4 linked regions of the Mus musculus genome follow. The protein of the gene in region 1 interacts with the protein of each later gene in a biochemical or structural test. Links are inferred from orthologs where the notes say so. Each region holds a gene or a part of one and is shown in the gene's direction. Other genes may lie near its edges.

Region 1 (7,068 bases):
AATAATAGAAAGCAGCGACTCAAGGGAAGCAAAGCTGACTCACGGTTCAGAGGATCCAGAATGCCGTGCAGGTGACGTGTGGACACTTGAACGGGATGGAGTGTTCAAACACAAGCACCTCAGACCCCAACTCTAACAAGGGAGACCAGTAGAGGTCAGCCCTGGAGAGTGAGCAAGGGCAGGGTACAGAAGGGCCCAGAGCCTACAGAAGTGACTCTAAAGAGAGCAGGCTTTGGCCTCACAGTGTACATTCTAGAAAGAAGGTACAGAGAGGGAACAGGGAGAACACAGTGGTCAGTCCAGGGTAGGTGGGTGATTGAGGCTAGAGCATGCGGTGCCTTAGCCAGCGACTAGAGAGCGACTTGGCCATGGAGAGCCTCACAGGACACCAGAGTAGACGTAATGGTAGATGCTCTAATGGGAGCAAGATTCTCCTGCATGCAGTGGTCAAGAGGCTATGGCTGTGGGCATCATTTGACACCTGTCTCCTTCGTTAGGTTGTACATACCCAGGTTGCAGTACCTCCTTACTGTCTTGTTCTTTCTGTCCCTGGGACCTGGCACAGGACTTGGTCCCTCTAGACACACAGTCCATTTCATAGTTCCTGTGACTGAAGGGCAGTAGGCAGCCTGATGTAGGACTTTCAGTCTGGAAACCACATCTGCATCCTTCAGATTTGCTCTAGTGAAGAACACAGTCAGAGAGAGAGAGAGAGAGTTGAAAGCACTGAGCAGAACCCTCTGAACCAGGGGCACCAGCAGGGCCCCCCTCCCCATATGAAGCCAGTAGTGCACAAGCAGTCTGTGCCCAGCAAGACAAGGGTGGGAACTCACACACTGGTGAGCAGGTTCTCCCGAGTCCTGTGAAATAGGAATTCCTGTGCTTGCCCCCTCAACACTTAGGGAGGAGACGTGGTCACTGCAGAAGAACGGGACATAAGAGCCTTCTGGTTTGGCCTGCAGTCATTCCCAAAATTCACTAGTTAAACAAATGTATCTGCCAGCAGATTGCTTATAATGGGTGTTTTATAATGGAAATGTGCTGTGTGTGTGCTCTGTGTGTCTGTCTGTCTATCTTCCGCTGGGGAAATATCACTTGAATAAACTTTCCCTTTATCTACTCAATGTCTCTGTTCTAGGATGCTCTTAGCAAGGTCTTGGTATGATCCCAGAGAGCAGTCGATTTCCTTCCTTCCCCCCAGTACTGTGTAGATTATAGTCGCTTGTCATGGTGAATAAAACCTATTTAAAAGGTGAGCTGGCACTGAGCGTGGTGGCACACATTTGTAATCCCAACACTGGTGGGTCAGAGAGGCTAACCTCTGAGGTCGCTGGCCAGCCAGCCTAGCCTCATGGGATTGGTGAGCTCAGGGTCAAATGAGAGATAGACCCTGTCTCAGAGTAAGGTGGACAGCACCTGAGGAAAGACATCGAAGGCCTCCACATATGCACCCACCAGAACACACACACACACACACACACACACACACACACACACACACACACACACACTGGTTTCATTCATCAGTTTTAGTGGTGTACCATAATCTTATAAGAACTTGGCATGCTTACTCCATCTAAATTGTCATAAGACCGTGGCGAGAAAGGCTGTCATGGGCCACCACTCAGCAGATATCATAGGGTCCAAGATCCTAGGCTTTGGAGGCTGAGCTCTAACAGTGACTCCAAACAGTGACATCTCTGCACCTCAGCTTCCTCTTATAGAGGATAACTACATACTATTCTGGACTGTTGCAAAAACCCAGTAGAGACAGTGTTTATAAAGCCCTTGGCAGTGGCCTGGTATATGAAAATATATTTGGTGATGACGAGTGCCTTTTATTCTGTATTATGCACACGTGGCTGTTAAGTAACAGAGCTGGGGCGCATCCAGGCCTGGCCATACTGCTCCACACTGCCCTCAGCTGTCTTCCCCCATGTAGGCACCAGCTCCTGCAGGGCTTCAGTGTCACAAAGAGACTTACAGCAAAGAGTGCGCATGGCCCACGCTTCTGGTTATTTAAAAGCTGCCTCACAATCCAGAGGCCCCGTGGAGATCCAGCTCGGTCAGCTCCTTGAGTTCTGCCAAGACAGACTCCCAGTGGTCTGCCGTCTCTGGATGATGAAATAGAGGACCCGTGCAGAAGAGGGTCAGCCATAGCCCGGCTGAGCCCCGATGTCTCTGTTTGATTTGCACCTTGCTTTATTTTTTGTGCTATGCGTGGTTTTGTTCTGCTTTGCTTTTTACAGGGTGAACATACTCAAAATTTCTTTCAAAAGGAAAAAGTTCTTCATACACCAGCGGCAAAAACAGGTGAGTTCCACTTGCTGTGTTTGCTGCTTTGTTGAGGTTTGTCCTACTCTCAGCTCCTCGGGGATTGCTTTCTGTGTCTTTAGGAAGAAAAGATTGTGGCCGTCAGGTCTTCAGACCCTGTGGCCATCTCTGTGAGTTGGTTGGTGCCTGTGTGGAGAATGAACTTGCTTTATAGTCAGACTCGAGGTGTAGACCCTGCCTCTTCCCCCTTTAACAGCTGAGCATTTTCTTTCATCTCCTCTAGTCCATATTCCCTCGTTTCTAGAAGCTCAAGTAATGAGTGCCCACCTCTCAGGGAGCTGTACGGATTAGACAAAAGGGCCCAGTTTGGGCACCTAGCAGAGCAGAGCAGGAAGCGTCCACATGGCTAAGTTCCAAAAGTGATAGCTTGTTACGGACTGGGTCTTACAGGAGGAATTGGCAGGATCCTAGACAACTCTGTTTGTTTGCTTAGCCACAGCACAAGCACACTCAGTAAAGAAGCCAAGGCTCCCACAGCCTCAGAGTGAAGGAGCTGGAATTTGAACCAAGGCGCCTGCCCTTTCCACACCACGCCCTGTCTTGTTATGCTGCATAGTTGTCACCGACTGCCCCAGCTTTTCAAATATGATATGCCCTTAGACTGGCCCCACACAGAGAACGGACCCTTAGAAATGGGATCACTGAAGCTCAAAGTACCAAGGACTGGAACCTAGACTGTCTGACTGTCCTCCCCCCACCTCTAGTGCACAGGGGGTCAGGGTGGGAGAATATTTCTTCAGGAAAGAGATGTTCACAAAAGCTGAGATTTAAGTTTTCACATGGCAGCAGCAAGTAAGCCCTCTCTTGAACTATAAGCAGGTTTGAAACAGTGACTGTGGAGGACCCCAGACGGTGAGGAGACATGGGTTCAGGCTATTTCTATGACCCCACCCATGGAGGGTTCACAGCTCTGCTCCAAAAAATGATTCCTAGGACACTGGGGTGCATCTGAGGTGTCTGGAGGCCTGCGCCCTTCCTCTGTCACATCTTCCCCGGCTTTTACAGATGGGTAGCGAGCCGGACACACTTTTATCATCCTACCGTTTTCCTGTTCCTCCTCCCAGGCTGAATCCAGGGAACATATCGTGGCCTTCAACATGCTGAATTACCGATCTTGCAAAAACTTGTGGAAATCCTGCGTCGAACACCATTCGTTCTTTCAGGCAAAAAAGTTACTACCTCAGGAAAAGAATGTTCTCTCTCAGTACTGGACTCTAGGCTCCAGGAACCCCAAAAAGTGAGTCTACTTCCAGGGACCATCCACATTATCCTGTGATGTTGATGTGTGCTAGAGGCAGCTCTGGGGCTGGACTCCAGATTTGAGATCCCTGAGTGGCGGCTGAGTCTCTAGGGGAGGCTGAGCTCTTAGTACACACTCGGGTGCGTGTTGCTCTCCCAGGGTTAGCTTCCACACCCTCAACCCTGCTGTCGTCTGAGTTCCCAGACAGCTAGTATTGCAACTGCCACCACGCCCTGTCCAATAAAGGTCACTGAGTGTCATCCTGGTGCCAGCATGGTAGGCTCCTCACAGCTGGAGGCCACTAGACCAACCCCTCCCCCACAATGTGAATCCATAAGGCACCCTATAAAACGAACAGAGGATATATTACCTATTATAGTTACAAAGTAATAATTATAATTGACAATTACCTAGTGTTTATCAAAGGAGGGCATATATTTAATTGTATTTGTTTCTTGTAATGAACCTAAGAGATTAATGTTACCTATAAGAGTGATATTCAAAATACTTAGTGGTAAGAACAGTAAAATAAATGTACATATATGTCATATGCACATTATAATTTTTAAAATAATATCCTTTGGGTCTCTAAATTAACTGTGTTTATTCTAAGCCTGCTTTGTAGAAGACACAGCAGAAATTGTTTATCAAGTTGCTAGGATTTCTAAACCATTTGCTGCTGGTTTTTCAAAACAGTGATTGATTATTGTTAATGTGGATTTTTCTAAATGAAGCTCAAGTATGAGCTATTGTATGATGTGAAATTTTGTAAGAATGTTCTAGTGGCTTTCCTACTATGTGTTAGTCTTTAGGTAATGTAATGATTTAGTAAGTGGCAAATTGCCTCTGGTAGGGGAGGAATTGTTTCTTAGGAACCAATAGCAAAAACATTATCTTTAAAGTGTTACATTATCTTTAAAGTGTTTACCTCTTATATTTCTGTCTACTATTTCTATATTCAATATTCTACTACTGAGCAGGCCATAGGAATAACGTAGCAGGGATACCTGTAGAGCCTTGTCCCCATGATGCCACATGGAAACTGAATCCTTCCTGCGTGGTGGTCCCTCTAGCTAGCCAGAGGCCTCAGATGAGAGCTGTTCCCAAGCGTGATGCAGTCAGCCACCAGCAATAGCCCCACTGTCTGCAGAGGGCTCACCTGCTGCTGTTGCACAGCGCCAGGACTGACTGCCCAGATCGCTGCAGCTGGTGAGGCCATGTGTGCATCTTGGTTGAACACTCCCTGGGTCATGCCCTCCCAGGGGACGTCCCTGATGGAAGTAATCCTGAGCACTCCAAGCCTGGTCTCCCTCACTAGGCGCCTCAGGAACCTAGCGAGTGAGAGCAGCCATAGCCATAGCAGCTCAGTGGGCCCCCTGTCTGTGAGAGTTCCAGGGTCAGGTTCAGGTGCACCAACAGGTCAGATCTGCAGACAGAAGAAGTCAGGTTGAAGAAACAGAAAGTCAGTTTAGCATGAAAATATATAGTTGATCATAAGGCATAGAAGTACCAGTGAGCTTCTCTGCTGTGCATAGCTTCTGTGCTGCAGATGGCCCGTGTGAAGAAGAATCCCACTACAGTCTAGTCGCAGACGTTCAGTGAGACGGCTGCAGTTGACAGGGGGCCTCCTTACTGTTGAAGTGTGTGTGTGGCCCCCACCCAGATGTTGTAATGCTACACATGTTCATTAGAAGGAAGCAGTTTTCTTCCAAAGAAGAGCTGCCTAGACCTGAGTCTCCAGGCGGCAGATGGGAAGGTGGCAGATGAGGGACCGAAAGGGTATATTCCAACACTGTGTTGACAGAGTTCAAATCCTTCTCTACCTTGAGTTTCAGCGTGCTGCCTGTTTCCTTCCCTGCAGACTTCTCCCTCTGTAAACAGTACAGGTGCTGGCTTGGTCCTGCTCATCTACTATGACGTAAGAACTCCTGTGTTGGACATTACAGCAACAGTAGTCTGTTATAGCTCAAGATTTGTGGGTCAGGAATTCAGCAAGGGGACTGGGGACTCTTCTGCTCCATTAGATCTGTCCTGTTACATAGGGATTTTGCCACACACAAGTCATCAGTTTCTTATTGATACCATCTTTTAGTATACTGTTAATTTTGACCAAATACACATACATACATACATATATATACAATTTTTTTAAAAGCTTTATTTAGTTTATGTATATGAGTGCACTGTAGCTGTACCGATGGTTGTGAGCCTTCATGTGATTGTTAGGAATTGAATTTTTAGGACCTCTGCTCTCCAGTCAACCCCACTCACTCAGTCCCTGCTTGCCCTAGCCCAAAGATTTATTTATTATTATACATAAGTACGCTGTAGCTGTCTGTCTTCAGACTCACCAGAAGAGGGCGTCAGATCTCATTATGGGTGGTTGTGAGCCACCATGTGGTTGCTGGGATTTGAACTCAGGATCTTCAGATGAACAGTCAGTGCTCTTTCCTGCTGAGCCATCTCACCAGCTCCATATATTATTTTTCTAATTTTGACTCTTAAATTGTTCTTTTTATTTCACATGTATGTATGTATGTGCAGGTGGTATGGAGGAAAACACATGTAGGCCAAGGATAATTTCTGGAAGTCAGTTTTCTTCTGTCCTGTGGGACTCGGGGATTGAATTCAAGTCATTAGACTTGGTGGCAAGCACCAAGCTAAGCCATCTCCCCAGCCCTTATCCCTTCTGATCATTTGGCAGTCAAGGAAACCACGGCCAGCCCAGCCCTGGAGATACATCTGTAGGTCTGTGTGTTGGGCCCTCTGATAGGTTCTGTGAAAGACGAATCTGTTCATTATTTTCCAGGGACAGTGGCACAGTTCCAAATTTCTATTAATAGCCCCTGACATGTGCTTTAGGGATCTGCCACATTAAGCCTTGCTGCCAGCTTCCCTAACTTTAATTTGACAGCCTTAATCAGTGGTCATGTGGCTTCTGATATAACTGACCTCGGGGGAATAGGTCTCCTGGTGATGCTATAGTGAACTTTGATCAGAGTGAAGGCCGCAGTCGATACTGTAAACTAGAACCGGAATTTCACTGTATTTATTTGTTCTGTTGTTTTCATCAGCTGGTCTTGGGGCATAAGGAAATACATGGAATGTTTAAGACATCAGAGCATGGTGTAAAATTAGAAAATGCCAGAACTGTTACTGCTAACCAGACTTCAGACAGTTTACTAAGGCGATCTATACCTCGGGATGTCAGCTCTCTCTTTTTTTTTTTTTAAAGATTTATTTATTTATTATATGTAAGTACACTGTAGCTGTCTTCAGACACTCCAGAAGAGGGAGTCAGATCTTGTTACAGATGGTTGTGAGCCACCATGTGGTTGCTGGGATTTGAACTCTGGACCTTCGGAAGAGCAGTCGGGTGCTCTTACCCACTGAGCCACCTCACCAGCCCAGCTCTCTTAACTATAAATAAAATTCAGAAATATCCTTCAGTCAGAGGATAGGACCTGAGGCTGTTCTAAGCACATCCTCTGCTT
Region 2 (7,068 bases), on another chromosome or scaffold:
GAAAAACCATTGAAGAAGATGCCTGATACTGACCTCTGGCCTACACGCACATGCACACGCACACACACACACACACACACACACACACACACACTACTCTTTAGTAACAAAAAAAAAAAATTAAAGAACTCTTAGCCAGGTGGTGTTGGCACCTGCCTTTAATCCCAGCACTCAGGAGGCAGAGGCAGGCAGGATCTCTGAGATCAAGGCCAGCCTGGTCTACAGAGCGAGTTCCAGGACAGCCAGGGCTACACAGAGAAACCCTGTCTGAAGGTTGGGGGAGAACGCTTAGACACAGAATACTAGTGGGACTAGAGAGATGCCTCAGCAGCTGAGAGTGCTTCCTGCTCTTCCAGAACACCGAATTAAGTCCCCAGTACCCATGTCAGACAGCGCCAAGCTACCTTTAGCTCCAACTCCAGGGGACCCAACACCCTCTTCTGGCCTGAGGGTACGGTACCCCTATGTACATGCGCAGACCCCCAACACAGACATACACGTGTGCAAATATAAAAATAAACCTTAAAATAAGAGAGAGGGGGAGCGTAGGCAGAACCAAGCTTGTGGCTCCAGGGGAGGCCTGGGGAAGGGTTAGGTTTTGCTGGGGACCCAGTGGGACTCCCCTGGAAAGTTGGTCTCACCACCACGAATGTCTCCTGAGCTCCTTTTGAATTCTCACAGTGGGCCCCAACTGTACAGACGATGAAGAGCCAATGCCAGAGCCCCCACTCCTTCACGCAGCCTCCTTCCCTCTCGGCCGCAGCCTTGTGAGGTGTGCTAGGTTCTGCTGATGCCGGCTCACTGGACTTGAGGGTCACATTTGCAGACATGATACAAGCTGGTTGTTGAACACAACCTTTACGAGAAAACCAAACTTTATGACTAAGTGATGCTAAAACACATGAGCCTGGCGTGCTTTTTTACCGCCCGGGGGGCTGCCGTCTGTGCTGTGTGCGCGTTAACACTGTGGGTCTTGCCTCTCTTCCCATCGGTCACAGCACGGCGCTGGGAACATTTACATCAGAGAAATCGGCAAATACAGTAGGGATTTTTCTTTTCCTTCCGGAGAGCGAGTTGTTAGTCCCTCACCGGAACAGTGGTAGAAAGGATCTGTCATTACAGGCAAGATGCTGGTCCTCTGAGCGGCAGGACACAGACCAGCCTTGGGGTCTAGAGTCTGAAATGTATGTTTTTGAGCAGTGAACCATCTCCTAGCCTTACCAGACAAGAGGCCTCAACTGAGAAGGCTAACATGGCCTTCATGGTGTTTCTCCTCCATCCCCAGCCCCTACCTGAGGCCTTCCCCTAGGCCACCCAGCCTTTTGAGCACTACTGAACAGGTGGGCTGGGGCCTGCTTGCTTCTTGTAGGAGGCTGATCCTGGCCTAATTGAGATGGGAGTTCTTTGTAGCTGAAGCAGATCACCAAATCTGATGACCTTCATGGTCTCTTCCTCACAGGCGACATTTAAAGGCTGGATGGACATCATGTATGCGGCTGTGGACTCCAGAGGGGTAGGTTGCCACCAGCTGTGTGGGAGAAGCCAGGCAGGGCGGTCACCCAGGTGGGAGGGATGGGGCCACAGTGGGGTTGGTGTGTGTGTGGGGGGGGTGGTGGCTGTAGTGAGGCCATCAAGTGCATGCATGTGTGCATGCGTGTGTGCATGCGTGTGCATGTGTGTGTCTATGTGTGTGTAGCCCACAACAAAACCAGTATGTGGGCCTCCTGGCCGCCCGGCCTGAAAGCCCAGCCTGTGGATGGAACAGAGCATGCCTAAGGTTCAACTTCCTAGTGTTCAGGCCTGGCCCTGGAGCAAGGCTGTGGGATCTCTCATGCAGTCCCCAGTCTAAACACATTTCCGATCCCACCAGATCCAGCCCATCATGATTTGTTCATTGCTCAGGACAGGTGGAAGCAGCAGGCAGAGATGAATTTCTCCTTGGTCCTTGTGCCACACCCAGTCATACAGATGCTTGAGGGGAGAAGACCGAGAGAGAGCTTAGTGTCACCCAGGCCCCTATGGACCCAGGGCCTGGACACACAGATATGGGGGTCACCCCTTAGCCTGTCATTGCCTGCCATCATCTTCTCCACTCAGCTCTAACACACACAGAGACACACATAAATGCACACACACAGTCCCACTCCACCTGTGTGACCGCCTCCGCCTGGCTTCTCCCCGTAGTAAGAGGAACAGCTGCAGTGGGAGGACAACCTCTACACATACACACATGTACTTACACACACGTAGACACACACAGACACACACGCATGCACACCTGCATGCACTTGATGGCCTCACTACAGCCGCACACTCACACACCAGCCCCACTGTGGCTCCATCCCTCCCGCCTGTGTGACCGCCTCCTGCCTGGCTTCTCCCCGCAGTATGAAGAGCAGCCGCAGTGGGAGGACAACCTCTACATGTACATCTACTTCGTCGTCTTCATCATCTTCGGCTCCTTCTTCACCCTCAACCTGTTTATTGGTGTCATCATTGATAACTTCAACCAGCAGAAGAAAAAGATACGTAGAGTACTGGCTCCGCCAGGGGAGGGGGCAGAAGGGGACGGGGAGCCAGAGGTCCCCATCAGACCTCGGGGATGAACCTCTTTATTCAGATGAAATAGGGTGGGGAGGGGTGTGAGGTGGCCATGAGGAACAGAGGGGACTTCAGTGGGTCTCCGCCTGCCCTCATCTAGCTAAGAGATTCAGGGGTGAGACTGTGCAGAGGCCCAAGGAGATGTACCAGAAAAGCCATTGATTAGCAGCAGCCAAACTAAGTGATGCTCAGAGAGGAGCCTAGGCCTGCCTGAGCTGAGCCAAGGGAGAGGCTCAGGTGAACACTGGATCTGCAGGCCACAAAACCAGAAAACAGGGATGGGGGGACCCTGGAAAGGCAGATTTGGGGGGATCTCTCCAAATATACCTTTGAGACAGGAAGTTACCTTCACTTGGGAAGCAAGGTCCTGAAAACCCCAAAATTATGCGGGTGCTGTCTTTCTATACTTAGGGGGCCAGGACATCTTCATGACGGAGGAGCAGAAGAAGTACTACAATGCCATGAAGAAGCTGGGCTCCAAGAAACCCCAGAAGCCCATCCCACGGCCTCTGGTGAGCCAGGCTACCTGGCAGAGTCAGGAGGGTCTCACGGGAGCCCTGGGCTCCTCCATCAGAGAAGCCTCCCATTAAGGGCTCTTCAGGCTGCTGCTCAGCAGAGAGGGACTCTGGGATTGCTCTCCCACACAGAAGTCCGAGCCTCACGCAGATAGGGGGAAGGCATGAGGTCAGGTGGTGACATCTAGGGCACACTACATACTCACAGGAACTCAGCTGCTTCCAGTGAGCCCCCTCCTCCCTTTCAGTGGTATATATTCTTTCCAGGCAGTGTAGTGGGCATTCACATCCCTCCCCCCCACTCACAATCTCATCCTCTGAACACTGGGCTCCTTGGAGAACTGGGTTTGTCCCCTCGAGTAGGGCCAGGGTGGTGCTGGGCTCTCTGCTAGCCTGACTTTCTTGGCCCATTCAAGCCATTCTTCTTGAAAATGGGATGAGGAGTTGGGTCATGGCGGTACCTGCCAGTACTTGGGAGGCAGAGGCAGGGGGATCGCTGTGAGTTCAATTCCAGCCAGGGCTACGTATTGAGACCTTGTCCTGAAAATAACAAACAAACAAAAAAAAAAGGGAGACTTGTTCAAAGTACTTAGGTGAGCTGGCCCTAATCCACAAGCCAGTTGGACAGAGCTTTCCTCCTCCTCCTCCCTATGCATCCTATTCCCTCCTAGATTGGGGGTGGCAAACCAAGGGGGTGAGGAATGAACATCATTCTTGATCCTCCCTCTTCCTTCAGATCATCCGGGCTCCCTTACAATTGGTGGCACACAGAAGAGCTGGAGAATGGCTGGGTGGTTAGAATTGTGTTCTGTTCTTGCAGAGGACCTGACTGCAGCTACCAGCACCCACATCAGGCAGCTTCCTCACAGCTGTGTGGAACTCCAGCTACAGGGGTCCAATAACATTTTCTGTATCCCACAGGCACCTAACCTGCATTCACGTGTGTGCATACCTATATGCAGCCATACACGTGCACATTTCTAAAGTAAGATGTTTTTAGAAACACATAGATAGAATTTTACTCAATAGAATAAATAACATCTACTCCATAAGATAACATGTCGAAAATATGTTAATCTGGAGGCATATACAAGTGCTAGGATTGAAGTTTAAATTTGACCTTGAATCTCCAGATTATGAGGCCCAGGAGCAGCACATGGATAGTGTGCTGAAACCCAGGGTAGACATCTACCTGGAGGTGCATTAGGGTGGACTGGCAGAGGAGGGAGCCGGGGGCCAGGCCTCTGCCTGGAAGAGATGGAGTCCACAGGCAGGAAGGCCATCTGGTCAACCCCCATGGTTTCCTCCTCTACACATGCTGTGTGGTGAGGGTTGGGGGCTGTAGTCTCACAAAGGGTGAGTAGGATGTAAGTTGTCTGGGCTGACTGGCAAGTTTTCTAGGATCCCAGTGCACTGAGCCTCTCGCCTCTTCTTCCAGAACAAGTACCAGGGTTTCATATTCGACATTGTGACCAAGCAGGCCTTCGATGTTACCATCATGTTCCTCATCTGTTTAAACATGGTGACCATGATGGTAGAGACAGATGATCAGAGCCCTGAAAAAGTCAACATCTTGGCCAAGATCAACCTGCTCTTCGTGGCCATCTTCACAGGAGAGTGTATTGTCAAGATGGCTGCCCTGCGCCACTATTACTTCACCAACAGCTGGAACATCTTCGATTTCGTGGTTGTCATCCTCTCCATCGTTGGTGGGTATGCAAGTTGGCTGGACGGGGAAGTCCTGCCCGGGTCATGTGTGTCTGATCCAGCCCTCTGCACTCTACTTAGTGCCGTAGCTCCTCATCTGCTATGTCTTCCTTGACTTCCCCTTAGACACACACACACAAGCACACACACACACACACACACACACATACATATAAGCAAACGAAAGCAGGCACACGTACACATACAAGCACACATAAGCACACATGCACAAGCATGCACACACACACACAATATACCACACACATGTACATCCCCTCACATGCATGCTTGCACACACATGCACAGACCTATGCATCACTCTAAAAAGAACTTGACTGTCAGGGCCCATTCAGGCCTAAGTTTACCTGAAGAGAACTCAGTATCCCATCCTGACCCTACCCTCCCTAGGACACAGCTCTGTGGCTATTCAGAAAACTTAAAGCTGAGGCTAGAAAAAGGAATGGCCACTACAGAGACTCTCCTACCCTCCGAACAGAAGCTTGCAGCCGAGGCTGAAGGAAGAAGAGGCAAGGCAGGTCCCTAAGAATGAGAGATAGATCACGTGATAGTGTAGAAGACATCAATCATCTCTGGAGATGGAAAACTCTACAGTCCAACATGTGTTCTAAGTTACAGAACCACCTGCCTCCTGCAGTTTTCCTGAGGGGGGACAACACAGGATGAGAGAGTAACACAGACAAGATCCTCACCATGTCTCTTCAGCCCCAAACCCAAATTCTGTTTTGAGGGGAGGGGTTCTAGACAGGGTTTCTCTGTGTAGTCCTGGCCATCCTGGAACTTGCTCTGTAGACCAGGCTGGCCTCAAACTCAGGGATCCATCCACCTGTCTCTGCCTCCCAAGTGCTGGGACTATAGGCATGCACCACCACCACTCTGCTAGAATCCAAATTCTAATATGACAGCTTTATTGAGACGTGATTCATGTACCATAAAATTCACAGAAGGTTAACTTAAAATTCCCTTGACAGTGTGCATTCTGTGGGTTTCCATATCATTAGGCACTGCTTAACCAGGGAGATGTTCTGGAAGATGTGTCATTAGGCGATTTCCTCATTTTGTGAACATCACAGAATTTACCTAACACAAAGACGGCTGCCAGGTTACCGAGCAGTGTGACCCTGTAGGAGGGTCTACACTACAGTCTGCCATTGACTTGATGGTTGTTACGCAGAACATGACTAGATTGTCACAGAGCTGAGAAACCATCAGCAGTGGATAATGTTAGCCTCTTTCCATGCCTGCTCCCCCTCAGCTCCTGGCAGCCAGGAAATATCCAAGAGTTGCCGAACCATTTTCCAAAGTGGCCGCACCATTTGCCCAGTCACCATTGGTGGTCAGAGCTCCCATTAATCCACCTCCTCACCGCCATATGGCTGCTTATGGCCATCCTGATGATATGGCACTACCTCACTGGTGTCTGGATTTCTAATGCCCTGGTGGCTAATGACACTGAATGTCTCTTTTGTGTTTACTAGCTATCTGTTTATCTTGCATAGAGAATAGCTATCTCAAAACTTTTATTCTTTTTTTAAAATTAAAGTAATTTATCGTATTTATTGTCTTGTTCTAAGAGCACTTTATCTATTCAGGATTCCAATCCCTTATCAAATGTACAAATCAAGAATATCTCCTCCCTCTCTCTGCTTTGCTGTTTTGGTGACGCCTGTTGAAGCAGAAGTGATTTGGTTTTTCTGTTTTTGTTTTTTTGTTTTTTTATCTTAATGAGGTCTAATTTGACCCCGTATAATTTGTCTTTGTTGCTGTCAATACTTGACATACACACCCATAAGTACACATCTGTCTTTGGGGTCATTCTGACTTTGCCTTTCTGCCATAGATGTCATGTACCTCTGGCAAATGCTATCAGAGGTTAGGGCAGGTTCTTCTTTCACCGCAGTGATGGGCAGGCATTTAGAACATGAGGTAGGTTTGGAAATGTCCCAAGGCCCCACTTGGGTGGCAGTAAGGATGGCAGTGTGCCTCATGGGGCTAGAAAGCAGTGTAAGGGATGCAGGATGTCAACTCGAGCAGACCACTGGCGTCTCAGAGGCTTTGGGAGGTACAGCGTGTATTTCCGAATCACCTGCTGGTCCCGGTGCTGGACCAGCCCAGAGTGTGGCCAAGAGCTGTCATGGAGCGAGAGCGTCTAGGTCTTGTTCCAGCTTGTCACTCGGGCTAGTTAACTTCTCTCGGCTCCATCTGGGAGGGAGCCTACGGCTGACTG
Region 3 (7,068 bases), on another chromosome or scaffold:
GAGTTCGGGTGCGCACAGAGGGCCTTCCAGGAGTGGTGGGAGATGTCCTTAGAGCTGGGCATCGTAGCCTTGATCGAGGATGACTGGGTAGAGGCTAGGGCACATGGATGTACATTCCCAAATCTGTACAGACAACTACCTCTCCACGGAAGTGGGATCCTGCACTCTGGTCTGTCCCCCGAACAACCAAGAGGTCACAGCTGAGGACGGAACACAGCGGTGTGAGAAATGCAGCAAGCCCTGTGCTGGAGGTACCCACCCCATTCCAAGACCAGCTGCGGCCCCGACCGCCACTCCAGTCCAGTCCGCCCAACTCTTGCTTAGACTTCTTTTCTGCTGTCGCCTCCCCTGCCCCTCTCCGGAGCAGTCTCCCCAGTCTCTCTTGTCAACATAGGGAGGAGGCTTGTCACTTCATGATGGGACAGCGGACAGGTCTCTGGTGTGCATGTGATCCTGAGGTGGCCCCTTTTCACCTCCCTCTCCTTCAGTATGCTATGGTCTGGGCATGGAGCACCTCCGAGGGGCGAGGGCCATCACCAGTGACAATATCCAGGAGTTTGCTGGCTGCAAGAAGATCTTTGGGAGCCTGGCATTTTTGCCGGAGAGCTTTGATGGGTAAGGGTACACAGTGGCCTGAGGTGGTGTCATGGAGGACCCAGAGTTTGTGGCTAAGAATACACAGGAGGCAGGTGGGAGTCCACAGGGAGCCAGGGCATGGAGTTGGAGGTATACATATCATTTAATCCACAGGCGGGGACGTAATGTGGTGATCAAACCATCCGGAGGGGGCATTGTTAAAGTTGTGTGTGTTCTTCCAGGCCTTCTGTATATTGGTGGACACAGAGTGACAGCTTTGACTGGGGAGGTGGTTCATGGAAACTGCCATGCATCCCTTGCTTTGGGGAACCTCTTTTTTTAAAAAAAAATTTATATTCATTGGTGTTTAATCTTCACGTGTGTCTGTGTGAGGGCGTCAGAAGCCCCGGGACTGGAGTTACAGATAGTTTGAGCGGCCATGTGGGTGCTGGGGATTGAAGCTGGGCCTTGTGGAAGAGATGTCAATGCTCTTACCTGCTGAGCCATCTCTTCAGACCTCAAAGCTGACTCGTTCTTACAATAGCTGTCGAGTGGGAGCCAGCAAAGACAGGCAACAGGGCACAGACTTGGGTTTAAAACCTACCTCTGTCTGTCTGTCTGTCTGTCTGTGCCTATCTGACTGTTATTCTTTCTCTTTCTGTATTTGTGTCTGTCTCTGTCCCTCTCTGTTTATTTGACTGTTATTCTCTCTCTCTGTATCTGTGTCTGTGTGTCTGTCTATCTGTGTGTGTGCCTTTGTTCAAAGGACAGTCTCAGGTATGACTCCTCAGGAGCTGTCCATCTTGTTTTTCAAAATAGGGTCCCTCTCTGGCCTGGAGCTCACTAAAACAGGCTACAATGACAACCAGGGGACCCCAGGAACTGTTTTGTCTTTACCTCTCCAGTGCTGGGGTTACAAGCTCAGTATCACATACGGGGTGCTGCTGCTTCCTTCTCCTCTTCCTCCTTTTCTTCCTCCTCCTCTTCCTCCTTCTCTCCTTCCTCTTCTTCCTCTTCCTCCTCCTCTTCCTCCCCTTTCTCCTCCTCCTCCTTATGACAAGGTTTCTCTGTGTAGCCCTAGCTGTCCTGGAACTCACTCTGTAGACCAAGCTGGTCTCAAACTCAGAGATCTGCCTGTCTCTGTAGGTGCTGGAATTACAGTCCTATGTTCGGCTAACATGAGCTCTTTTATATGGTTCTGGGTATTGACTCAGGTCCTCATGTTTGTATGGCAGAGCTCTATGGCTTAGCCTCATTGCCGTCTCCTCTCTTCTCTGTGCCTCAGTGCCTCATGTGTGCAGTGAGGACCATCATGGCTCTATGCTCAAGGCGGTTTATGTGGGCACGCTTAGAACAGCGCTGGATGGATGCCGAGACACCCCTCGCCCCGTGTTTGTATTTTAGCATATGCAGAGATCAGTGTTCTGTGTATCACTGATGGATATTGGGCCATTTTCAAATGTCTTTTCCTACAAACAGTTCAGCTTGTTTCTGCCTCTGGCAGCTGAAGCCAGTGTCTCTGCAGGATATACCGCAAATCAGACTTCTAGACCAAAGGACACAAATATTGCCCTGCCAGACTTTGACCCTGGGCTTTGTGCCTCAGGATGAGAACGGCTTGATAGGCTCTATCTGAAGGCATTTGTGAGGGTGCAGAGTGCTTTGCCAAGGCCTTCCGGGGCTCCTGCCCTACTGACCACTCCTTCTGGTCCCTCTAGGAACCCCTCCTCCGGCGTTGCCCCACTGAAGCCAGAGCATCTCCAAGTGTTCGAAACCCTGGAGGAGATCACAGGTAGGCTGTACGCTCTGGCCTCCTTCGCAGGAACTAGGAGTTCTGGACCTTTCTACATACCAAGCCCCCTCCTCTGCCTGCAGGTTACCTATACATTTCAGCATGGCCAGAGAGCTTCCAAGACCTCAGTGTCTTCCAGAACCTTCGGGTCATTCGGGGACGGATTCTCCATGAGTAAGTGGTGGGGAGGGGAAGGCTAGGAGGTCTGGCTACATGCCCTGAGGCCCTTGGTGGCTAGAGTAGGTGCCTTCTTGTGACTGGAAGCCCCCATTTCCACAGTGGTGCTTACTCATTGACGTTGCAAGGCCTGGGGATTCACTCACTGGGGCTACGCTCACTGCGGGAGCTGGGCAGTGGATTGGCTCTCATTCACCGCAACACCCATCTCTGCTTTGTAAACACTGTACCTTGGGACCAGCTCTTCCGGAACCCGCACCAGGCCCTACTCCACAGTGGGAACCGGCCAGAAGAGGCATGTGGTAAGACAGGAAGCCCAGCACTGAGGGCTGGCACAGAGGAGTCTCAGTAGCCTCTGGCGGCAGCCTCCTATAACCTGTGCATCATGTCTTAGAGCCCCGTTGTTGTTTAGAGACAGGCTCTCACTATGTAGCCCTGGCTGTCCTGGAACTCACTCTGTAGACCAGGCTGGCCTCAAACTCACAGAGATCTACCTGCCTCTAACTCCCAAGTGCTGGGATTAAAGGCGTGAACCATCATGCCCGGCTACAGCCTGGTTCTTCACTTGCCTATGGATGGCTTAGCCTTGAGCATGGCTTCCAGCTGTGTCCTGCCGTGCTGCCAGGCATCCACATCCCTCCCCTGTTTCTTGAACTTGCATGTTCTAGCACCAACCCTTAACCCTTCAGCCTGGAGCCATGCTTACAGCTTTTTCCCTTAGACCTGAGCCTAGCCAAACACTTCCTTCTCCTTGCTGCAGGTCTTGAGGGCTTGGTCTGTAACTCACTGTGTGCCCGTGGGCACTGCTGGGGGCCAGGGCCCACCCAGTGTGTCAACTGCAGTCAGTTCCTCCGGGGCCAGGAGTGTGTGGAGGAGTGCCGAGTATGGAAGGGGTACGAATTGCAGAGGAGTGGGTGGCTTGAGGGGTACTCGGGGTACTCTGCCCCACCCCAACCCCTTACTACACCCACCTCTCTCACAGGCTCCCCAGGGAGTATGTGAGGGGCAAGCACTGTCTGCCATGCCACCCCGAGTGTCAGCCTCAAAACAGCTCGGAGACCTGCTATGGATCGGTGAGGTGCTGGTGTGCTCGGGGCTGGGGGAGGGACGAGCTGAGGGTCCATCCAGTTGCTACAGGGTGAAATATTCCCAGAGAAGGCTTCACTGGAGAGCAGAAGCAGGGAAGATCAGGGAGGCTGGGACTGGGGACTAGGAACTGCTCACATTATGCTGTGGACCCTGGGCTACCCCTTCTTGCTATTGACACCGGAGCCCTTTCAGGCTAGGACAAGGTTCCAAGAAGGCCTGTGTCTTTGGCAGTGGCTACGCTAATGACCAAATGCAGGCCCTGTTTCCAGCCTCAGTTTTCACTTCTATAAGGTGAATGTTGTAATAGTTCCTCCCTGGTTGGGGTGTGGTGAGAACAGAATTAAATAGGATTTGGCACAGTGCCCAAGCATGGAATAAAACCTTTGTACATAATAGTTGTCACTTGTCACACCTTAGGGAACGCACGTCCCTCTCTGGGCGCCTTCACTTCCTTGTTGAGAGCAGGGATGTTTACTCCAGGATCAGGGAGGCAGTGCATCTGATTTGGGGACATGGGGCCCCATCCTTCTGCTATAACGATGACATCCCTAAACCCTCACAAACCCTTCCTCTCTGTCCAGGAGGCTGACCAGTGTGAGGCTTGTGCCCACTACAAGGACTCATCTTCCTGTGTGGCTCGCTGCCCCAGTGGTGTGAAGCCAGACCTCTCCTACATGCCTATCTGGAAGTACCCGGATGAGGAGGGCATATGTCAGCCATGCCCCATCAACTGCACCCACTCGTGAGTGGAGGGAGTGGAGTCTTTTCTGTAGAAAGGAGGGCCTTCATGGGGGGAGCCTTTTTTGAGCTCTTGTTGTGAAAGGGGCAGAAGTCTACGTTCACTTATATTGAGGTGTAATTTTTTTAAAAAGATTTATTAATTTTATGTATGTGAGTACACAGTTGCTCTCGCCAGACACACCAGAAGAGGGTATCGGATTCCATTACAGATGGTCGTGAGCCACCATGTGGTTGCTGGGAATTGAACTCAGGACCTCTAGAAGAACAGTCAATGCTCTTAACTACTGAGCCATCTCTTCAGCCGGAGGTGTAATTTTTATCTCTTTTCTAATTACAAAAAAATAACACCTTAGGGTCTGGAGAGGTGGTTGTGTAGTTAAGAGGACTCGCTGCTTTCAGAAGGCTGGAACTTGGTTCCTAACACACACTACAGGAGACCCTTGATTGCCTGATAACTAGCTTGAGGAGATCTGATGTCTTTTTCTGGCCTCTGCAAGTGTACACAACACACACACACACACACACACTCACACACATTCATGTAAATAAAGTTAAAAATAACACATTAACACATAGCTCAGTAAGTAGAGGCACTTGCTCATAAGCCTAGTGATTTCACCTAAGTTCCCAGGACCCACATGATGGAAGGAGAGAACCAACTCCCAGAGCTTGTCCTCTGACCTCCACATGCCTGTTGTGGCACATGCATGCCTTCCAAGTTCCAAGCACAAACACACACATACATACACACACAAATAAATAATGTAACCGAACTAAATCTGTACAGTAGTGCATTAGAAATTTTAAACTACACATAAGATATAAAATAATACTGTTGGCGGTTCTACTGTGAGTACTTTGAGTTGTTTCCCCAAGTCCCTAGTGCTGGAGACTTTGTGGATGTCAGAAGACAATCTGAAAGAGTCAGCTCTTCCCTTCCACCCTATGGGTTCCAGGGATTGAATGCAGTTGTCAGGTGTGGTGGCAAGTACCCTTACCTGCTGAGTCATCTTGCCAACTACCAACGTGTGGCCGTTTCTTTCTTTTAGGTGTGTGTGTGTGTGTGTGTGTGTGTGTGTGTGTGTGTGTGTGTGTGTGTGTGTGTATGTGTGTGTGTGTGTGTATGGAGTTTCTACTGCTGTGATAAACACCACAATAAACAGTAACTTGGCGGGGGAGGGTTTATTTAACTTATATCTCCACATCATAGTCCCATCCAGGGAAGTTGAGGCAGGAACTCAAGATAGAAATCTGGAGGCAGGAATTGATGCAGAGGATGCGACCGGACTCTGCTTACTGGCTTGCACGGCATGGCTTGCTCAGCCTACCTTCTTGCAGTACACTGGACCACTAGCTCAGTAGTGGCACTGCCCACCAGGACCTGTGCCTTCCCATAGCAACCATCAATCAAGAAAATGTGCACAGGCTTATACCGGCTTGCACAGGCCAGAATGGTGGAAACATTGTCTCAATTAAGGTTCCCTCTTCCCAAATGGCAGTAGCTTCCATCAAGCTGACTTAAAAGTGCGGATTGTTTTGCCTGCATGAAGATCTGTCTGGTGCCTTGTGTAGGCCAGAAGAGGCAGTCGGACCCCCTGGACCTCGAGTTATGGAGGGGTGTGAGCTGACATGTGGGTGCTGGATTATCAAACCTGGGCCCTCTGGAATAGCAGTCAGTGCTCTCACCTCCTAGCCATCTCTCCAGTCCTCTCCTCTCCCCATCCCTCCCCTCCTCCTCCCTCTCCCTCTGTCCTCTCCTGTCCAGACAGGGTTTCTCTGTGTGCCCTGGCTGTCCTGGAACTAGCTTGAACTCAGAAATCTACTTACCTCTGCCTCCGAGCGCTGGGACTAAAGGTGTGGGCCATCACCACCCAGCTTGCCCTCATTTCCTGATATAATCCAACACTTTCCTTCATATTCTGTGCTCTGCCTTTCACCCACTCTCTGTATCTTTTCCTACAAATGTTTCTCCATCTACCCTCTACAGATGTCCCCCTTCATAGCACATCACTCAGTACAGGCCCTATTTGAGGGATATCGTCGCTCTTGCTTGCCTATTTATTTATTTCATCCTGACTACAGTTTTTCCTTCCTCCCTTCCCTCCTCCCAGTCCCCCCAACCCCCAGTCCATTCCTCTTCCCCTTCTCCTCAGAGAAGGGCAGGCCTCCCATGGATATTGATCAGCCATGGCATATCAAGTTACAGTAAGACTAGGCACCTCCTCTTCTAGTAAGGCCTGATTTTTGTTGTTGTTGTTCAGCTCCACACACAAAGGGGCATCTGTGTGCATGCCTTCTTGTGACCTGGTGTTGGCATGGTAGTACCAACTGTTGGGGCAGAACTGTTGACATTTTATTGCTTGGTTGGTGGAGATCGGTGCCAGGACCTTGTAGACCTTTTCCCACTAAGCTATGGCCCAGCCACCCTGTGTGTTTAATAGGTCTTCCCAAATTCTCCTCACATGTACCATATACCCTAGGCCTCTTTCATGGAGGGACTAGCTGATCTTCCCACCGTCATAGTGCCCTGCTTCCTGCCCAGCGCAGGAAGTCCCAACAGTGCAGGGGAGGTGGATTCCCAGACTGAAGAGGGACTCTTCTTGTGGACAAGTACAGAGCAATTTGGAGACCTGGAGCCCGGTTCTGCTTGTCACATGGGAACAATCCTGCCACACCTGCCCCAGGAGGCTGTT
Region 4 (7,068 bases), about 77 Mb from region 1:
CCCAAGTGCCACTTGTCCCCTCAGTGTCCACCCTTGCCTGCTGCCTTCCTCCATCCCTTGTCCCACCTCTCAGGCCTGGCTGACACAAGCTGGCACTGATCCAGCTGATTCCACGGTGGCTTTCTCCTCTCTTAGCCTTCCAGACCGAGGGCAAGCTCTATCTTATTCTGGACTTCCTGCGTGGTGGAGACCTGTTCACACGGCTCTCAAAGGAGGTAAGCTAGCATCCCACTGCTGGGATATGGCAGAGTCCCGTCCTGAGGCCGATGAAGAGCAATGTGGTGCAGGCCTGTAACTTCCCGGCTCTGTTGAACAATCAAGAAACGTCACCTGCCTCGGAGAGTTTCTCTCAGGATGTGCTGAGGATGACTGGGCCTAAATGTGGCCCTGCTGTAACTTCTGGTTGCTAAGGGATCCCTCAAATACCTGAGAGAGAGTGGCGAGGGGGGTGGGGGTGCTGGCCAAGGGGAAGAAGGCCAAACTCACCCAGGACGCTACAAAAAGATACAAAGGACCCAGTAGAAAGGGATCCTAACCTCATTTCTTTTTTTTTTTAATAGCAAGTTCTTTTTTCTTTTTTAAGATTTATTTATTTATTACATGTAAGTACACTGTAGTTGTCTTCAGACACTCCAGAAGAGGGAGTCAGATCTCGTTATGGATGGTTGTGAGCCACCATATGGTTGCTGGGATTTGAACTCCGGACCTTCGGAAGAGCAGTCGGGTGCTCTTACCCACTGAGCCATCTCACCAGCCCTAACCTCATTTCTAAAAGACAAGATCATGAATCCAATCCAACCTGTGGGGAGAACCAAGCTTGGCCAGACATTGTGACACAGGGCCTGTTCCTGTTGTTACAGCTACTTGGGAGGCTGAGGCAGGTGGATTACAGGATTCAGGCCTGCCTGAGCAACTGAAAAAGTATATGGTAGGGATGTAAGTCATTGATAGAGTGTATGTCTAGAGTATACCAACACCTGACTCAGTCCCTGGGCACAGGGGAGACTCACACTTTCTAAAACAGCAACAACAACAAGGAACTGCTTATACAGGGACACACAGACAGACACGTGAACACATAAGTGTGCATTCAAAGACCAGAGGACAACTTGTAAGAGTAGATTCTCTGCTTCCACCATAGGGGTTCCAAGACTTGGTGACAAGAGTCTTTACCCACAGAATGTCACTCTCTCAGAACCATACTTTCAGTATTTAAAACTTAGCTTAGCTGGGCATGGTAGCGCACGCCTTTAATCCCAGCACTCGGGAGGCAGAGGCAGGCGGATTTCTGAGTTCCAGGCCAGCCTGGTCTACAGAGTGAGTTCCAGGACAGCCAGGGCTACACAGAGAAACCTTGTCTCGAAAAGTAATTAATGCTTAATTAGGCAGTCCATTTCCATGATTCAAAAGACAGATACTCATGGTGAAGTCTCCTCACTACACAGTCTCTCTACCCCTGCAAATAAACATTTTTCTTACTAGTTTCTATTTTAACCTTCTAATGTTCCTTTCTGTATATACGTTCTGTCCATGTTCTGTATACATGTCTACCCCTCCTTTCTTTTTTTTTTTTTCTTTTTTTTTCCTTAGGTATTTTCCTCATTTATATTTCCCAATGCTATCCCAAAAGTACCTCATACCCACTCCCCCCACTCCTCTACCCACCCACTCCCCCTTGTTGGCCCTGGCGTTCCCCCGTACTGGGGCATATAAAGTTTGCGTGTCCAATGGGCCTCTCTTTCCAGTGTTGGCCAGCTAGGCCATCTTTTGATACATATGCAGCTAGAGACAAGAGCTCCGGGGTACTGGTTACTTCATATTGTTGTTCCACCTATAGGGTTGCAGTTCCCTTTAGCTCCTTGGGTACTTTCTCTAGCTCCTACCCCTCTTTTCTTATATGAGACATCATAGTTTCTGCCCGCTGTTCTGTGCCTGGCCTCTAGTGTCAGTGTGTCTCGGACTGTTCTGCATCAGGATGTGAGCAAACTCCTTATTCTGCGTTAAAGCTGCAGAACTGCCCATTTTCCCCCGGGGGAAGCAGTTTATTCCAGTCTTTTATTCCTGGGTGTTTCCATTCTTTGCTGTTTCCAAGCTGTAGCGCAGGGAGTGACTTGTGTATTAGAGAAAGATGTGTTGCATTGACTGTGTCCCCAGGGTAGACCCTCCACACCAAGAGGCCCTGACTGCTCAGTAGGCCAGCTCCTGGGGAACGGGGTAAGCCAGCTGACGGGTGTGTCTTTCCCTGTTGCAGGTCATGTTTACAGAGGAGGATGTGAAGTTTTACCTGGCTGAGCTGGCACTGGGCCTGGACCACCTGCACAGCTTGGGCATTATTTACAGAGACCTCAAGCCTGAGAAGTGAGCAAAGCCCCTGCCATACTGCTGATCTCTCCTGGGCACAGGGACTGCTCTTGGGCCCTTTTAGAACAGGGCCATTTGGGAGATGCTGTGGCGCTCCCAGGAATTTATCTCTCTTTGGGGCTGTCAAGAGGGATGGGTGGTTGTCGCAGGTTGTGGCCAACAGCAGGTTCACTTTAGGTAATTAGGAATTGCCTGGTCGGTACTGCTATTACTAAAGGCTGCAGCCCAGCTGTGGCCCTACTCCATTCCCCTTCCTTTTGGTTTTTCGAGACAAGTGCTTTAATCCCAAGTGCTGGGAATAAAGGCCTGCGTTACTATCACCCAGCTCTAAAGATCATCTCTCCATCCGCTTATCCTGGGGGTTTCGCATGCACTGCCTTCCGGTGCTGTGTTGAGAGCTGGGATAGATTCTGGTGGTAGAGTTAGACACACCCCAAGTCAGGCATTGCGGTACTCAACTGTAGTACCAGCTGCTAAAGAGGCCGAGTCCAGGAGTTCGAAGCCAGCCTGTACAATGTAGTAGAATTGAAAGAAAGACAAGTTCCCTAGCCATTCTAAAGGAGTTACTTTCCCGAGCTTCCATCCTTCCACTTTTCCTTGAGTAGAGTTGGACCAAACCCTTCTTCTGGTCAGGCCCAAGTCTCTCCACCCCAAGGTTACTGCTAGAACCTGCACAGTGCCTGCAGCTAAGGATTCCTGACTCCTGTCTCTCTGTTACAGTATCCTTTTGGATGAGGAGGGCCACATCAAACTCACTGGTGAGTGAAGGGCACCTGCTCCTTTGGGCTCTGGGGAGGATAACCAGGCTCTGTCTGATAGGTCTCAGCTGATGGCTGTGTTTCCTGGGAGACGATGCCAGTTACATACATGCCAAAAACCTAGGCCTTGTTACTTAGTTATTTTTTGTGTGTGTATGGGAGTTTTGCCTATATTTGTATCTGTACCTCATGCATGTGTTGCCCAAAGAGGCTAGAGTTGCCTGCACCTGGTTGTTAACCATCGTGTGGGAGCTGGGAATGGAACCTGGGTTGTCTGGAAGAACAGCCAATATTCTTAACTGCTGAGCCATCTCTCGAGGCTCCCTAGGTCTCAGAGCAGACTGAGCTCTCACTGACAACCTTGGTGATACCTGGCTCCGGTCAGAGGAGCTAAGTGTGGTAGCCGTGGGCGTGGCAGGGATCCTAGAAGTGACTTCTCTGCCCTCCATGCTGCAGACTTTGGCCTGAGCAAGGAGGCCATAGACCATGAGAAGAAGGCTTACTCCTTCTGCGGGACAGTGGAGTACATGGCGCCCGAGGTTGTCAACCGCCAGGGTCACACCCACAGTGCAGACTGGTGGTCCTATGGGGTGCTGATGGTGAGTGTCCGGGCTCTGCTGCACACTGTTGTACTTTGTTTCCCTCGAAGAGCCGCGGGCTTTAGTCCACCTGCCTGAAGTACCACCCCTCACCTAACTTGGGAACTCTCCTCTGCTTCCTTCCTCTGGCTTTAGTGCTGCTCCTGGGTTCTAGGTTGGGAGGGGGGCAGAGGCAGGCACAGGCCTTGCTGCAGCTAGACTTAGACTGTAAAGTCTTAACAGGCCAGCAAGAATCCCCGGACTGCAGCAGGGTAGCCCGGGAAGGAGGGGGAGGGATGTGTGGGAGACAGAGAACAAGGCCACACCTATATGTTTCCTTTTCCCCCCGAAGTTTGAGATGCTGACGGGCTCCCTGCCCTTCCAGGGGAAGGACCGGAAGGAGACCATGACCTTGATTTTGAAGTAAGCACCAACACTGCCTGGCCCTCCAAGTTCTCCCTAATCCCACCCCAGTTGCAGGGCCAGTGAATTGCTTTTTCCCTGTCTGCAGACCCTTGCTGTCTGCCAGGGCCAGTGGGAAGTGTTCTTAATGTCTCTGGGAGGTGAGTTAGTGGCTGGCTTCTCTGGACTGAGCTGGAAAAGAGAAAGGGAAGGGGCTCTGGGACTCCTGGGTGGGGCTCAGCCCTGATGAGACCTGTGGCTGTTCCAGGGCGAAGCTAGGCATGCCCCAGTTTCTGAGCACGGAAGCCCAGAGCCTCCTGCGGGCCCTGTTCAAGAGGAATCCTGCCAATCGGCTTGGTAAGCAACCCCAGCTCAGAGGAGGGGACATGGCGGTGAGGATCAGGGTACAGCTGCAGCCTAGGCCACGGGGCCACATCTAGGACTGAAAGGAGCTGTTGTCCTTTGTGTGAGCAGACAATGCTGCTGGCCACCCTATTTTCTGGTTCCATGTATGGTGCTGGGAGGGTGACCTGTGTGGGGGGAAGGCAGGAACTGAGTCATTCATACCCCCTCAGGGACAAGGACACAGGCCCCCACACAGCTTCTCTGCCAAGGTTGCTGGCTCAAGGGAAGGCGCAGGAGCTTAGGAGCGAGAAAGGTCTCAGGCCTAGCTGTGTCTGTCCCCGCTGCCCGGCACCCAGCAGTACTGTAAACATTTGCTGAGGGATTGAATACGGTTTATGAGCCTGCGCTATGGCAGGGGACCCCACCTTTCCGAGCCCCAGGTTCCTGTGTCAGTGGAGACACTGATTCTGCCCTGGCTCCCGGGGATCTTTGATGAGAGAAGGACATTCCTGTTGTTCAGTGAAGTATACAGTATTTGCCGAGGTTTTTGGATGCTGGCTTTATCTGGATCACAACCAGCTAAGGTCCAGTCCAGGTCCCTGGGTTGAATCGAATGAGCGTTTGTCTCAGGGATAAAGACGAGAGGCAGTAGGAAAAGAAGGGCAGAGAGGAGGGGGGCCTGTGGCGGGAGTGGATGAAGGCCCTTGTTAGATCTCAAAAGAAGTCAGTCCAGCTTCTGTCAGGATTAATGCTTGGACAGGCTTCCCGTCCTGCCTGGCCCCTCCTTCCTCAGTACACCAGCAGAAGCTCCGTAACATAGGAAATACTGAGCGGGCTCCAGGCTTCAGGGTAGTGGGTACTGACGCAGGACATGGTGAACCCCTGCTGCCCTCCACGGTAGCAGCTGGTCCAGAGCCTGGAAGACAGAATGGGTGTCTGAGGTTGGCTTCATTTGGCTTCTTTCAGGCTCGGGCCCTGATGGGGCAGAGGAAATTAAGAGACATATCTTCTACTCCACCATTGACTGGAATGTGAGTGCCCGTGCCTGTGCCCTGTGATGGACGCAGGAAGGGTGGGGGAGGGGCCCCTGCCAACCGTGGCCTCAGCTGTGGGAGGTAGAAGGTGAGCAGCCCTTAACATGCCCTTGGAGGGGTGACTTCACGCCCTTGAAGGCTGCTCTCCCTTGCTGTTATCCACTGAGCAGCATAGCTTCTACTCTTCCTGTCGGGGCTGCTAGCAGGCTGTGGGGTCACCATGGTGACCAGAGCATATACCCCACCTTACAGAAGCTCTACCGGCGTGAGATCAAGCCCCCTTTCAAGCCGGCTGTGGCCCAGCCCGACGACACCTTCTACTTTGATACCGAGTTCACGTCACGCACACCCAGGGGTACGTTCCTGACCTGACTTGTCTGTCTTGGGCTGGGTAGCAGATCTTTGGGGAACCCTGGGCTACAGAGGTGATCGAGGATTCTGGAAGCCCAGGTGTGTGGGTAGATAGGCAGTATCTGGCCCCGTGGGCTTCATGCTCCATCCTGACTTCATGCGACCCGACTACTTCCATGGGCTTCTGTGGGCTGCTTTGTTTCTCGGTGAGGGACTGAAGTGTGGGGGTGGTTTAGGCCACAACAGGAAAGTCAGGACCCCCTGCCCCAGGCATCTTCCAGCCCACTGGGACCACTAAACACACAAGGCCTGCACTTGCATCAGACATGAGGAATCTGACCGGGCAGACCTGTGATGGAGAGGCCTCGGCAGAGCAGAGGAGACGGTGCCCACAGGCTGGATGAGCTGGGAAACCTGACGTCCAGCCAGATACTGCCAGTGGGTGGGGAGGTGTGTGTTAGTTCTGAGGTGTCTTTTTTTTTTTTTTTTAATTTATTTACTTATTTTATGTAAGTACATTGTAGCTGTCTTCAGGCACTCCAGAAGAGGGAGTCAGATCTCATTACGAATGGTTGTGAGCCACCATGTGGTTGCTGGGATTTGAACTCCGGACCTTCGGAAGAGCAGTCGGGTGCTCTTACCCACTGAGCCATCTCACCAGCCCCTGAGGTGTCTTCTTAGAGGGTGATCGTTCCCTCTGTGTAACTTGCACACCATTGTTGACTGGAAGCGCATCACTTCACAGCTGTCTTGTCTTCCCCTTATTTATCTGCCAAGTCCATACCAGGTCCCCGCTCTATGCCAGCCGTAGTGAGAATGGTGGATTGTGAACCAGACAGAACCATGTAGCTCAGGTGTCAGTGGGAAGGATTATAGAGGGTCAGAGGAGCGACATCATCAGGTAGCCTTCTCAGGGAAAGGAAGGTAGCTAAGACTTGAATGATGGACAAGGAGTGGCTTATCTAATCCAGGAGAACGGCGTGTGTAGCGACACCGAGACACTCTTGAGTGTGTGGAGTTCATCGGGACTGAGTTCCCAAAGGGGAGGAACGAGGCTGAGGCCACGTGGATCTCACTTGCCAGACTTGGGGGTGGGGGTGGGGTGAGCAGTCCCTTGATGAGTGTAGAACACAGGTGGCCCCAGACTTCTTGGTTGGAACTGTCCCTCTAGCTGTGCTGAGAATAGGCCTAAGAAGGGGATGGACCTGAGGTGGGGAGGGTGGGAAGAGGTATCCTGGG

Evidence for each region.
Region 2: the proteins of Ptpn3 (region 1) and Scn5a form a complex in vitro, tested with the Homo sapiens proteins (2 studies listed by IntAct, with this or other methods). The link is inferred for Mus musculus from reciprocal best matches to the Homo sapiens genes PTPN3 and SCN5A.
Region 3: of the proteins of Ptpn3 (region 1) and Erbb2, one has a biochemical effect on the other in vitro, tested with the Homo sapiens proteins (2 studies listed by IntAct, with this or other methods). The link is inferred for Mus musculus from reciprocal best matches to the Homo sapiens genes PTPN3 and ERBB2.
Region 4: the proteins of Ptpn3 (region 1) and Rps6ka1 interact in a test that uses a peptide from one of them, tested with the Homo sapiens proteins (2 studies listed by BioGRID and IntAct). The link is inferred for Mus musculus from reciprocal best matches to the Homo sapiens genes PTPN3 and RPS6KA1.

What each region holds. Positions count from the first base shown.
Region 1 is NC_000070.6:57,236,031-57,243,098, reverse strand, and holds part of Ptpn3 (tyrosine-protein phosphatase non-receptor type 3), read left to right. Parts: intron 1-2,249; coding exon 2,250-2,313; intron 2,314-3,398; coding exon 3,399-3,571; intron 3,572-7,068.
Region 2 is NC_000075.6:119,487,506-119,494,573, reverse strand, and holds part of Scn5a (sodium channel protein type 5 subunit alpha), read left to right. Parts: intron 1-1,459; coding exon 1,460-1,513; intron 1,514-2,387; coding exon 2,388-2,525; intron 2,526-3,008; coding exon 3,009-3,113; intron 3,114-4,554; coding exon 4,555-4,825; intron 4,826-7,068. UniProt on the Homo sapiens protein: Pore-forming subunit of Nav1.5, a voltage-gated sodium (Nav) channel that directly mediates the depolarizing phase of action potentials in excitable membranes.
Region 3 is NC_000077.6:98,424,609-98,431,676, forward strand, and holds part of Erbb2 (receptor tyrosine-protein kinase erbB-2 precursor), read left to right. Parts: intron 1-131; coding exon 132-251; intron 252-488; coding exon 489-615; intron 616-2,294; coding exon 2,295-2,368; intron 2,369-2,451; coding exon 2,452-2,542; intron 2,543-2,647; coding exon 2,648-2,847; intron 2,848-3,305; coding exon 3,306-3,438; intron 3,439-3,527; coding exon 3,528-3,618; intron 3,619-4,215; coding exon 4,216-4,376; intron 4,377-7,068. UniProt on the Homo sapiens protein: Protein tyrosine kinase that is part of several cell surface receptor complexes, but that apparently needs a coreceptor for ligand binding. Essential component of a neuregulin-receptor complex, although neuregulins do not interact with it alone.
Region 4 is NC_000070.6:133,862,413-133,869,480, reverse strand, and holds part of Rps6ka1 (ribosomal protein S6 kinase alpha-1), read left to right. Parts: intron 1-135; coding exon 136-215; intron 216-2,251; coding exon 2,252-2,358; intron 2,359-3,081; coding exon 3,082-3,119; intron 3,120-3,575; coding exon 3,576-3,718; intron 3,719-4,049; coding exon 4,050-4,120; intron 4,121-4,367; coding exon 4,368-4,456; intron 4,457-5,410; coding exon 5,411-5,475; intron 5,476-5,730; coding exon 5,731-5,833; intron 5,834-7,068. UniProt on the Homo sapiens protein: Serine/threonine-protein kinase that acts downstream of ERK (MAPK1/ERK2 and MAPK3/ERK1) signaling and mediates mitogenic and stress-induced activation of the transcription factors CREB1, ETV1/ER81 and NR4A1/NUR77, regulates translation through RPS6 and EIF4B phosphorylation, and mediates cellular proliferation, survival, and differentiation by modulating mTOR signaling and repressing pro-apoptotic function of BAD and DAPK1.